Linked DNA regions of Styela clava. The protein of the gene in region 2 binds, or shares a complex with, the protein of the main gene of each other region. Links are inferred from orthologs where the notes say so. Each region holds a gene or a part of one and is shown on either strand. Other genes may lie near its edges.

Region 1 (6,754 bases), on a different chromosome or scaffold from region 2:
ACTTAGATGAATCCTGTTTGGTAGTGCATAAATAAGACTTTGTCACCCCCATATTCAAAGTTATGACCAGAGATAGATGGTCGCTTTTGCCCAGTGCTGCAGTTTTGTTCACTTCCAGCACCAACGCAGAATTTGTACTAAATACCTGGTCAAGTTGCGATTCTTGCATGCAATTTCCAACTAACCTCCTCCGAGTAACCTCATTTTTGATGAACCATGAATACCCCAGTTGTATCAAGTTTTCCATAAATACATTCTGAGCAACAATTTTCTGATTACCTGTTTCAAACACAGAGCTACCAACGTTCTAGTCAATATCAGGCAGATTTACATCACCCACAATAAGGATATCCTCGTCTGCTGATGCTTGAGTCAGTCTGACCAGCTCATATAGGATGTTTTCATTACCTTCATCATCTAGTGAAGGTGCACGATACAAACAAACCAATACAAATTTGACAGACCTCAGAGATACGTAAACAGTTACACTTTCAAGTGATTTGAAGAACTGTGCTCTCTCAGCATTAAGTCCCGAGTGGACGTAGATCAGAGATCCACCTCCTTTCCCACTGAGAGTTTCCCTGTCTTCACGGAATAAATTATAGCCATTGATGTGCAGCTCTGAATCAAGGAAATACTGATTTAGATGAGTTTCAGTTATGCATATTATGTCATATTTACACGCACTTATCAGAACCTTTAGTTCATTTAATTTGTTAGAAATTGAGTTTGCATTTGTGTAGTAAATTTTCATAGTCTTGATCTGTTCCAAGCTAGTTTTCATACATTCATCTCCACTAGACTTTTTTTTGCAATTTTCTCAGATTTTTTCTTCCTGTCTCTCTTTCCTTTCTTTGTTGGTATTGGACCTCACGCTCAGTTCTTGTTAGATCTTGGTTAATCCAAATGTCATCCTCTAGTTTCCTTCCCTTGCCAAACTTGTGGATATCAGATGCTTCCTCCTCATTTCTGAGAGTAACTAGTATGAGCCGTTTGTTTCTGTTTGCACTCTCTCCAGTCTCTTTCTTACCTATATGGTAGCAGCTCAAGATGATGGAGGACTGGAATCCAGAAATTTTACTCTTAATTTGTGAGTATACAATTTGCTTTATGTCCTCATTCCCAGTTTCCGCCAATCCAGAAATCACAATGTTGCGGCTTCTTTTTCTCTGTTCCATTATATTCGAGTCAATTCTTTTCATACTTTCTTGCAATGCAAGATCTGAAGTTTCTTTTACAGTCTGTTTAATAAGATTGACTTGGCTTCCCGAGTTTTGCTCCTTAAAGCAATCGGCAAAACTTTTGGTGGTTGCCGATGACCCCTCTCCTACAACAGTCTTAATGATGTCAGGAGGACTTTTTTTATTTCATCTTGCACTGCATCGCTTATATTTTTGCTCGATTTTGCAGGTGTCAACAATCCTAATGGTTCTACAACCCAACTTGGGCATCTATATTTTATTGATACAATCTTTTGTGATACCTTGTAAACCAGCACACTCCACATGCCACCACGATGTATTGCACTTCTTTGTACCACACTGTATCCACAGTGCACCATTCTTTTGCTTCTTACAAACACAAGATGATTCAGGCATACTTGAGATTAATTTAATTAATTAATTTAATCTTAATACAACCAAATACTCCAATTGGATTTCTTTCTGCGGGCAGTTGATAATAATTTTGAAATTACCGCAGAGATCGCAGCCATTGTTCTTATTAATGGCACGACTAGAGGCTTTGGTCTGTTGGGATCTGAGAAGAAAAAGATCAAGCGTCTTGGCTTGTTTTTGGCGAAACTTTCGAAAATAAGTACTGATGGCGCCCCATCAATGGTTGGGAAACAACAGTTTCATCGGTACAAAAATTGTGAAAGTTTGGTCTGCGGGTATTGTTTGTATTTTCCTTAACCTGTAGTCAGTGTAGCAAAACTAGAACATAATGCCATGTTAATAATGCCTTAAAAGCAATCATTGCCTTATTGAAATTAATTTTGATACAAGCGCCAAACAAGAGCCGATAACACGAACCATATGGCGAACCACGGCCTCCGATCCATGTCGAGTATGGGATCAGTTAGTTATTTGGTCGAAAATGGTCCAGCCCAGTAATTAGCAACCGGAATTCCTCGTTATGAACATTTGCTGTGATTGGCATATTTTATGATATAAAATTATACAAATTAAGAATCAAAGATCACACTGAACTGTAGAATAGTCTACTAAGTACTAGGTGCAAAGATGGGGTCTCGTGTAGTTTTGTACCTAACATACTTCTAGTGGGCGTAGCATAACAATTTGTTCACATGTTAATCCCAACCCCCACCTGACTACGCTATCCAAAAATTATGCCACAACGACATCACAATAACGTCATAGAGCTTCCCCATTGATATACACCTCAATGAGCCCTCAATATCCGTACGATCGCCCGGAATGGCACCTGCGCCAACAATAAGGACTTGACGAACGTCAGCGATCTCTCTCATATCGCGATCGTCGCGACGAGAAAACGAGAGAAATATCTGCTCGATTTCGGTTGCTCGTCTGCGCGTTTTGGATGATAGATGGCAGTGCCAGTGCGTAGAGCAGGGGTCGGCAACCCTTTGTCGCTCGCGGGCCAAAATTAACCCTTTCCATGCAATTTTTATTTTTTATTAAATAATCGTATTTGCTACGCCGACTTTATGCATTTGTACCCTCACAACTAATCGATCGACTAACGAAAAAGTAATGATCCTCTGCTGCCCACTGACGGCTCGTTGGAAAGCTTATTTAAAGAGCTTGCAATAGGCGATTAAAAAATTTTTTTTTTTCAAAAGGGGTGGTCTGAGTCACAAACCGGATAGAAAAAAGGCATTTTTTTTTGGGTGTTGAAACTTCAAACCGTAATAAAAAATAGAAATATTCGCTAAATCCTTTACTGTTACCGCTTCTTGGTTGGCAAACAATAGCATAATATTGCTGTAGCAAAAAACACCGAAATTTGCATAAATTTCAAAAACACTCCCTCATTCCACCGCAAATAAAATTTCCATGGTAAACGAAAGCGAGATTTACCGTCGCTTATGTTAATCTCGAAGAAGACTTCTTATCAATAAACTAAAACCCGGAAAAACTAGACCAACAGTTTGCGACCGATTGCTAAATAAAACAGTGGAGTACATCAACGTACCCGCCGCAATCTAGCGAGTTTTGTCGTGGGTACGTATACGTGCCCATCGCACGGAAAGGGTTAAGATTGCAAGTCATTGGCGGGCCGCACATATTTTTAGAAAGTTGAAAAATCGAACGGATGGTACTTTTTATAATAAAAATCAAGCAGTGATACATCTCTAGAATAGAATATAGATTTATTTCCTCATTGCATCTCATAAAATTCTATTTGAATATTTTCAGCGCCATTAAACCCCTTTGCACTTAGCATAAACTTTTCTGCGTTTTGTTGCCATTTGCTTAATTATAATTAAATTATATGCTCAATAAACGAGTAATTGTAAATTATATAATTGTTAGGTTATAATATAATTTAGTCTTAAAGAATATATTCTTCAAAACGGATGTTTTGTTACTATAATTTAGTGAAGCGTCGCGGGCCGGATCAGGCACGCAGGTTGCCGACCCCCGGAGAGTCTGAAGTGCTCTATTAGGTCGCTGTGGCGTGATTTTTGATGACGCAGAATTGACATATGCAGTATATGTTACGGTATGCTACGCCAACTAGAAGTACCTACTTTAGGTACGAAACGGGTCTACACTAGACTAGTTGTATTGTAATGTACCTTTATAGACCCGAGAGGGTAACAAGTGCTATAACATTACAGCAGTATAACCAGCGGCTTGCGCTCATTCACATGCACTCACACACTTTAAACTGTCATAGCTAGTCACAGCGAGTCTTCAGACAATTATTTTTGGCATGCAGACCTTTCGCTTAGCAGTCGAGTTTTTGTACTGTTTGTAGGTGTAGCCCTGTATTTGAACTTGTTATGTCTTTTTTTAATTTAAGCTGATGAGATATCAGTCTGGGTTCGTCTGTTGCTATTTAATTTCTATGCACAAACTTATAGCGTTGATAGGAACTGAGATAATTCTTAGTAATTTGGATTGAATGTTTCTGAAATTTTCATTTGGTGTTACTTAAAAAAATTATGAAATAATAAGTGTTCCACCACTTCATCGACTTCGTGCACTCAAATTATGGCAATTTGACTATGGCTGGTTACTAACTATATTCAATTTTGAAATCCCAATAAAAATATGAATATGGTGGGCAACTAGTAATATTTTTTTGTCAAGTTTTCTTTTTTGTTTGCTGAAAAATAACTATGTTTTAGATGAGTAAACATGTAGATGTAGGCAACCACTCATTTCTGCAACACCTTATAATCTACATTGTTTGTACATTCTCTTGATTTAATCAGTTTTATTTATTTGTTTTTTTCAATTATTATATGCCCTTTCGCTGATGATGGAGTAACTAACAGTTGAGTTACATATAGAGCAACCAGTACATACCAAGAGAAAATTTGTATAGTAGTTTAATGTTCAGATTTTCGTCACACCGGCATACTGTTTATTATGGCTAAAGGAAGAGCATTGCAACTTTATAAAGCATTGCTAAAAGAAAGCTCGAAGTTTTCGGACTATAATTTCAGGTTTGAATAAAAAACAATAGGCTTAATTTATAACATTTCCTATTTGACACTGACTGACTGAAGTTCAAGAGATATCATGCCATGCTAAAATGAAAGCGCTTTGGTTTTTGACATTATAAAATTGTATGAAATTTGACAAAACACAAGATCAACTTAGGTCATAATGAGTTTGAAAAATAGTAAGCTGTTGAATAGAGAAACGCCTCTGCCATCTGGGCAGAAACATATGATTGCTGTATTACAATGTCTGACCATGTGAACCACATTAGAATCCACTTGCCATTGCACCACACAAGTGGATTTGCAAGTTTGATTAGTACAACAATGTGCCAGCCGAAAGCCTTTGCTTAGCCCTGAGTGTATGGCTGATTCGCGTAACACACCACTTCTGTCTTAATGACAATATGCTGTTCTCTCGCAGACAACAGGCATCAGAGCTATTGTGCGATTATAAAGCAAGCAGTGCTTCTTAATCATTATTTTCTAGCATTTAAATCTTGAATTTTTTCTGAAGAGTTGAGTCAAAGCCCTTCTTATGTAAATTCCTGAAAAAAACTTATGAACTACTACATTATGAATGGCACAGAAGTGTGTCTGCTTTCATCTATCACACCAGTTTGCTATATATGTATTTTTTTATATCAAGGCATTACGCTATTACACGAACTAAGGATGCTTTCCGGGCAAACAAATCAGAGCCAGATCCTGTCAAAATCCAAGACTTTTTACACATAGCACAAAAGAATTTGGAAATGATTAAAAGACAAGTAAATCTCATTTATATTATTGCTCTGTGAGGCAGTGGTTGGCAAACTTTAGGTACTTACTACTGGGCCAAATATGCATATTGACGCTAGCATGCGGTCCACATTAATCTTTGCTGATAAACAATTGTCATTTATATTTCAAATTAAGATGCACCCACAGCATTCAAATTCCAAAATACGACCAACATGTGCCTCTTGCCCACACAAATTACTACCAGAACAAACACTGTGAAAAAGCCATTATTACATACATCTGTGCGCTGATAATAAACTTGTTGTTAAGAGGGCCACAGTTATGCCAACGCTGCTGTTTGGCAAGAGATCAATCAATCCAATGATGCCTTCAATTTGTGGTATATTGAAGAATATTAGATTTAAATACAGCTCAAGGTGCGAGATGATCATGTCTCCAGTTTAAACACCACGAAACATGTGATTACTATTTGACTCTAATTATAATGTGTTCTGTTTAACAGGTAACAATTGGTGAAATGTTCAGAGCAGAGAGACTTATTATTGATAACGATTCATAACTACAAGCAATGATATTTCCCACTCGAATATCAGAGCATTTTTACCTCCGTATAGTTTCTCCGATCCTCATACATTGTTGTGTTCACGAATATCAAGTCAATGAGCCCAGTAAATTATACATATTGCTGATTAATATTGTTGGGGGGGTGATTATAGTCTCTATCTGTGTAGCACGGGCATCCCACTTTTACTGTGATAATAATGCTACAGACTTATCAATCTTCATTTTATGTTTATTGAATTTTCAAACTTGAAATAATAAATAAAAGATGTAATATCATTCATTCCTCTGCTCTTTTCGGATCTGGAAAAAAGGCAATGCATTTGTGATTGAATACGCCATCAATTGCACTGTTTATTAGAAAATGCAATACTTACATGGATAGACATAGGATGTGCGGTAATTCTCAAAAATATACTGATTTCTTTCCTGTCTGTGCTTTGAGAATGGAAGGTATATGAACGCTAAAGGAACTGTCAAAATGATAGAACATGATTGATCAATTTGTAGTAAGCAACAAAATATATAAATGGATTCATGAGCAAATATTTTAGGAGTTAACTGATGCAATAACACAAATGCCTTCATTATGAGAAAACACTTCATAGAAAGAATCTAGCAATTGCATGCAATTAAGCGGACATACCAACGATAAAGAATCCTACAATTCCAACCACTCTCTCCCCATGTTCATATAAACTTTGGCGAATGAATTTTCCAATTTCTGGGAAAAAAATATGTTCGATAAGTTTCCGGGTAGAAATGAGTTAAGAACTAGGCACTTGTACATTT
Region 2 (7,181 bases):
ACTGTCACAAGGGAAAAGGTAAAGTTGGCCACTGCCAGCGACGATCACATGAACAAATTAGTCGAAATAATTGAGTCGGGAATGCCAGATAAGCGAACTGAACTTCCAACACCGCTACGAGAGTATTACAGATTCAGGAACGACCTCTACACTGTGGACGGGGTGATAATTTACAAAGATCGAATCGTCATCCCCCCCACGTTACGCGGAGACGTTCTACGTGCCCTTCACGCCGGACACCAAGGAGTTTCATCAATGACCTCAAGGGCAGAAGCATCCGTGTTCTGGCCAGGAATTACAGCAGCGATCTTAACAACACGCAACAAATGCCGAGAATGCAATCGCATGGCTCCATCACAGCCATGCGCTCCGCCTACATCTCCATATACACCATCTTATCCGTTTCAATGCATTTGTGCCGATTTTTTTCACTACAAAGGTGTCAATTACTTAGTTATCGTTGATCGTTACTCCAATTGGCCAATAGTCGAAAGGACGTCTGGTGGTGCGACAGGACTTATCAGCAGCCTACGAAGAACATTCGTGACATTTGGTATTGCAGATGAACTGGCTTCTGACGGAGGACCTGAGATCACCTCCGCTGCAACACAGAAGTTTTTGAGAGAATGGGGCGTACATCATCGGTGGCATTCCCACACAGTAACTGCCGTGCAGAAGTCGGAGTAAAAACTGTTAAACGACTTATTTGCAACAACACTGGGCCTAACGGCGAACTGGACACAGACTCCTTTCAGCGGGCCATCCTGCAATACCGAAACGCACCGGACCCGGACACCAAAATGTCACCAGCAATGTGCGTGTTCGGGCGCGCAATCAAAGACTTCATCCCTATTCTTCCCGGAAGACATAAACCGCACAACACTTGGCGTGAAACTTTGGCAGCCAGAGAGGAAGCTCTTCGTAACCGGCATATGAGATCGGCAGAAAGATGGTCGGAACACACGAAAAGGCTCCCTCCACTAGTCATCGGAGATCGCGTAAGGATTCAAAATCAGATCGGCCCAGAACCGAAAAAATGGGACAAAACGGGACTGATAATTGAAGTTAGACCATTTGATCAATACGCCGTAAAAGTCGACGGATCCGGAAGAGTGACACTTCGCAACAGAAAATTTCTGCGTAAATACACACCCGTTATTGGACCTCAACCACGACGCGTCATCGACAACGACATCCTTTGTAAGCTCCCACCTGCTCAAAGACAATACACGAGAAAAGAGCCTTTGGGGAACGACGTCACACCATCGGGGGAACACGACGAACCGATCGAAGCCAACGATCACAAAACACAAGCTGAAGTCACAAATCCTAACAGCCCGCCGACAAAAGCAGGAGTGGAATATCCTTCATGGCCTACGGACGCTGACATAGATGTTGACACGTCACCTGAATGGATGCCCCGACGTTCGAATCGTGCTCGAAATGCTCCTAGATGGCAAAAAGACTATGTCATGACTTAAATCCCTCAGAAATATGATCATTTTACTGCATATACTCAGTCTTTCATACCCTGCTACTCCTAGGAAACGGCGCACAAAAGACTTGGGGGGAGATAGTGAATATTTATGTAGACTGTGCAGTGTGTGATTTAATGTTAACTCTTGTTCTTTATTTCATTTCAGTTATTATTGAGTTCCGTCATTGTTTACTAATAAAAGTGTAACAAATGGACTGTCAATCCTATCTAATTCTGTTTGTGGAAGGGTATGCTTTTGGCTTGTTGCTTCTCCAATGTAATTCTGTTTATTTTTAAGATTAATTTGATAAAAATCCTGTGCATTTCAATATATACTAGAACAAAACAAAATTTTGAAATTGTGTCAGGACTTAATAAATACCCTCTACATCACAATACTAGCAAAAAGCGCTGAAGAAAATAATATCAATGATTTCTACGATATCAATATTGTGTTTTAGTAAATTTCCAAACAACAATGCATTATATAAAAACAATTTGTGGAAGATCGAAAGCAGTTTAACAGGGTCAGATGTTCATGAAATATACAATTTATTCTTACACACACTATGTGTGCGGGTGTATGCACGCTTCCCAAATTATTTCCACTCTACTTTGCTTCAATATTGGCATATTTGGGTTAATTGCTACAAATTGAGTAAAACTAGCATACAACTAAAGAAAAAAAAATTTTATTTCATTTTCAGAACGCACTTTTTACGTGTATTTTTGTTTCTTCACATTATAACACTGTTTTACTTCATTTCACCCCTTTTTTCCTTAACAAAAAAATTCAGTAAAATTAATTTAAACAAGAAATTGAAATTAACTAAACAAAAAAGTACTTTTGAGCAGTGGCGAATCTACGTCAAATTGAGCCAATGGGAAACCCTCAAAAATGCACCGACTTTGCCGTTGACTGATAATTTTTACCGATTGTTGTTGAATTTAGATACTTGTACGCCATTATTTGAGTAAAAATCGAGTTTCAATTATTCCCTATTTGAAATAGTTTCATCGTAGCACCCTGTCCAAACGGCCCTCATGACTCGAGGTCGGAATCGAGTGAAGAAGGGGTGACTACATATGGGGGCCCATTCATATCCATGAAAAGTTATTTAAATGAATTTGTATTCTTTTTTCAAGATTTAGGAACAAAGATCTTAGAATAAGGAACGAATATACAGTGGTATGGTGTTTTATGTCACAAAGACCCGATCTAAAGATCGATAAGTAATAACTATCCTAAGTGATTCAAGAGTCTTGCTGCACACTAACACAAATTTATTTCTGTAGCGTTTCGTCTGACCTTGGTAAAGGATCGAAACCTCGCAGAACACCCGTAACAGATCGACCACCATGGACCTTTCCCCGACCTTTAACCCCCAAAAAATTCTTCCTATACTTTACTATTGCAAAATTTTCGCGGTTATTCTAAGAGTGCTTTTGCGAGTTGGCACCTGTAAAATGGGGTATGTGTTTTAAACCATCCCTATGATTCATCGCATACAACAATCTGTTTTTTAAAAGTATCGGTAAATTTTTTTAGCCTAGTCTATCACAGCTATTTCTACACTAATTTTTTATTACTGCAATTAAATTAACACTCATAGGAAGACAGAGTGATCATTGAATTATCTGATTCATATTTAAGTTTCCGAAACACAACTGAAGACTAACGAATAGATTTCAAAAACGCGAAAACGAGGTAATGTTTATACGACCACGCTTGAAAATCTGTCTGAGTGAGAAAAGTGTCTGAGCGGATGCGAAAGGGGAGCATTGTTACGTCACTTTTTGCTTCTTGCTGATTGGCCAATGTCACGAAGTAAACAAGGAAGTCGATGATCGGGGAAAGGTTCATTTAACTTTAAATTCAATCTAAAAAAAAAATTTTATCCATAAACTTCTTCCCGGTAGATTGGCTTTAATCATATTGATATTACGCAATACAAATCCAACAGTAAATACCGAAACACACAGCGCGTAGTATTCTCAGTCAAACAGCCTAACATGCTCAGAGTCAGCTGCCGCAGAGCTGCCTGTATCTTGTATCAGTGTCTGAGCAACATAATTTAATCTAAGACTTTATAAATCTTGAATGGTCCTTTAAAGCAGGGAATTGGGTGAAAGAAATTGAAAGTCAAATTCGCAAATGTAAATAGACCATGTTGACGAGAAAAAAATTCAGCACATGGGGCTATCCTGCTACGATATCCAGATATCTGTCTTTCAGTCTTTAGGTACCGGTACGGTACGGTACCTAATGCAAACAATGCTGCAATGAAAAAAATATGATGGCATAAGATACGGTACCGGTGTGGACCATTTGATCCCATATCAGATTCCCGACATTGACTGGTACCTTAACCGGATGAGAGGTCTTAGTTTGCCATATGATTAAGCCGTCTTATCGACTTTCTTCTCCCCGGGGATACATATGTAAATCCTATCCTAAGTGATTCTTTAGTTGAATCAACTCAACTAATTTAATTTAGGGAGAACAGTGGTCAAAAAGAGCATCTTCTGAGCTTTCTGTCTTTGTGTTGTGATACGTAGCAGATGTAAATATAGCACATCATAGTTTTGTGATTATTCTTTAATTATTAAGGGTTTACTTTTGCAGTTTTTAAGCTTCTAATACTAACTACTGAATAGTGAATAATGTTCAGGTAGACCAAATCGAATACTAAGCAATTTTTTTGGAATTTCAAACTTTAATATATTGGAATTGTGTGTAAAAAAGTCCAGTATCATGTAAGTATAGACTGATAGAGTTACAAAGAAGTATTAATTATAGTTCAGTAGTACTGAAATGGTCATATAGGCTATCCTGTATATAGGTATAGCTATTATTATGCATACCGTAACATTTGTCTGGAATTTTGCTGGTATTCTGATATTTGAGCATTGCTTTATCGTTTTTGCAGTGGTTATTTATTTGTATTCTACTTTGTATTAAATCATATTGATATTCCCAAGCAGTTACTCAATTCGATCTAGTGGAACATAAGTTTAGTAATGGGAACAAAGCATTGTTTAGTTAAAAGCTGACTTTTCAACAACAGTAATTTGAGATCATATTTATCTACCCTATCAACTTTATTTGCCGGTAATAATTGCAAAATCTAGTCTATAGATCATGGGTGGGCATGGTTCTTGAATCAGGGGCCAAAAATTTTGCCCACCTTGACTGTCGGGCCATGTAAGTATGAAGTAAAGAGTCAGACTACATTTTATGAACAATGTTTGCAGTGTTACAAAAGCAACAGTGGAAAACAATAAACCTCGTGCCGAAACTAAATTTAACCGCAATCTCAACAAATTCCTTGAGCTATTTGTAACTAAAACATCAAAATTTCAGTTTGGTTGTGGCAGCATCAGGCGGGTCAGATTGAATTACCCACCGGGCCGGATTTTGCCTATGTCTGCTATAGATGTTACAAGTGATTTGAAAAATATTGTGAAACTTCCCCTTGGCCATCATGACTCTAGCTTCAATCTTTTTTTTTCGAGTTTGTTAGGAATTTTCACTTATATTGTCGTCATTAAAAACAGATTTCAAAGTGAGTTTTTAAAACATGCCAAACTCAGACAAAAACAGCCTGTATCAAATCCCATCATATACGATTATGTGTTCAAATTTGGGTTTAAAAAATTAAATGCAATGAAAAAGAGGATATGTTGGGGTGAGAGGCAAAGAACTGAATAATGTAGGGCTAAATCACCCCTGCCTAAGTTTTTACTGACCACTCTTTTCCCTAACTTCGTTAATTTGTTCACAGGCACTCATTGTTGCGCAAATCCGTCAGTTTGACAAACAAGTACCCACTTTTTACTCGATATTCATCATCTTCCTCTCATATCACTCAAGAAAGGAAATCAATTGCTCAAGCTACAATTGAAAAAGGCCATGGAGAATGGCAACCTGGCTTTCGTCCTGTTTATTTGGATGTTCAGGTAACACAACTATAATGATTGCCATACCAGAAATATTATATTTACTTTAGCTTTTCATGTTTAGCCTACAGAGGAAAGGGAAGTCAATTTTAGTCAAAGGTAATTTATCCAGTGAATATGTAAATGTTGTATGTTAGCATGCAAATAGTTGCTACTTTTCTCATGGCTAGAACAGGCCATTCATTGTGTAGGAATTGTGACTTTAACTTTGATTTGTTGAAATATTACCTTTTTAAATGAGGTTGAACAGAATTGATTATTTGAAAAAATATATTTGAATTCTTGACACTAAAAATGTTGTGCTCAGTTGTGTAATGTTTGATGGTAAGATTGCTATATCTCAAAGATAAGTTTTGAATTTGCATGAATTTTGTAAATTTTATTTTCCAATTGTTTTTCCAATTTGATTAGCTATCGACTGGGAAAACAATATTATCCTAATATAATCCATGCTAAGCACATACAGAAAACATAAAATTCTGCAAGGAGAATATCCCGCGTCGTTCCTATTATCAGGATTTTTTTTATGGGATAGGATTTTGAATGTATAATTATTTCTTCTGAACTTACCTGCATATTATATATTTAACTTTTTACAAGGCCACCGCACCAATGGATCCAAGAGTGCTGGATTCAATGCTTCCATATTTTGTAAGTTACTATGGAAATCCACATAGTCGTACACATGCATATGGATGGCAGGCGGAAGATGCTGTTGAAGACGCTCGAAAACAAGTTGCAAGTTTGATAAATGTAACATTGTTTTAACATTCTTAAATTCCTGTTTTAATATTACACCAGGCAGTACCTGCATAGTTATGCTAAAATAAATTTTGGGAAAAGGTAGATGTGCAAATTAGCCAGGGTAATTCCAACGCAGATTTAAAATATTGACATGTCTGATGACGCGCAAGGGCAAGGTTTGTCAATATAATTCCATTTGTTCTTGAATGCTGGAAAATCTTCAAAGATACCATCTCAAGTGTTAACAAGTGTTTTTAGAAGATCAATTGAATTGAATAAACCAAAATTGGTTATAATTTCACTATGTTATATATTTACATAGGCTGATCCACGTGAAATTATATTTACAAGTGGAGCAACTGAATGCAATAATATTGCTGTAAAAGGAGTTGGGCGATTTTATAAGTAAGTAGACTTATTTAATGTGAAATTTCAGCCAGCTTTAAATAGATATTTTAATAATTTGTATTCGTTGTATAGCGATTCCACAAGTTGAAAATGCTTAACTTTATCAGCAAATTATAATTGAGTACTGTATTCAACTGTGTAGTCTATTATTATAACAAAAAAGCCTTCCCTTATATGCTAACTCAATTGAATACATTTCTTTTGTAACGCCATTTCTTCAATTATTTTTGTATTCAGGAGTAAAAAACGTCACATCATAACAACCCAAATTGAACATAAATGTGTGTTAGATTCATGTCGATCTATGGAAAGTGAAGGCATTGAAGTTACTTATTTACCTGTGCAGGTTTGTCTCTTCTAAGATATATATATTGGGAGTTCAATATGGCTCCATCTGACCATTTGTGCATTCATTATATTGCAAAGCACTAAGAATTATTAGAATATAGCTGGTAAGCTGGTTGTTTACTTTCTGAGAGCTTAGTAAATGAAATAATTTGCTATTTCAAATACACTTTGAATAGTAGCTCAGAATATGGAATATTCCAGAATTGGGTTTGTTTATCACAGAATTTGCAATACTTTAATGATC

Evidence for each region. The genes of interacting proteins can lie anywhere in the genome.
Region 1: cysteine desulfurase-like (region 2) and LYR motif-containing protein 4-like share a complex: the UniProt entries of both Drosophila melanogaster proteins name them as parts of the mitochondrial core iron-sulfur cluster (ISC) assembly complex. The link is inferred for Styela clava from reciprocal best matches to the Drosophila melanogaster genes Nfs1 and bcn92.

Annotation. Positions count from the first base shown.
Region 1 is NC_135255.1:1,696,693-1,703,446, reverse strand, and holds LYR motif-containing protein 4-like, read left to right. Parts: upstream 1-4,421; 5' UTR 4,422-4,583; coding exon 4,584-4,660; intron 4,661-5,306; coding exon 5,307-5,427; intron 5,428-5,903; coding exon 5,904-5,960; 3' UTR 5,961-6,241; downstream 6,242-6,754. Other genes in the region: uncharacterized protein LOC120331577, read right to left, coding at 6,243-6,265, 6,340-6,435, 6,609-6,686. UniProt on the Drosophila melanogaster protein: Stabilizing factor of the core iron-sulfur cluster (ISC) assembly complex that regulates the stability and cysteine desulfurase activity of Nfs1 and participates in the [2Fe-2S] clusters assembly on the scaffolding protein IscU.
Region 2 is NC_135251.1:29,316,073-29,323,253, forward strand, and holds the start of cysteine desulfurase-like, read left to right. Parts: upstream 1-4,075; 5' UTR 4,076-4,232; coding exon 4,233-4,234; intron 4,235-5,262; coding exon 5,263-5,437; intron 5,438-6,037; coding exon 6,038-6,190; intron 6,191-6,503; coding exon 6,504-6,586; intron 6,587-6,826; coding exon 6,827-6,935; intron 6,936-7,181. UniProt on the Drosophila melanogaster protein: Catalyzes the removal of elemental sulfur from cysteine to produce alanine. It supplies the inorganic sulfur for iron-sulfur (Fe-S) clusters.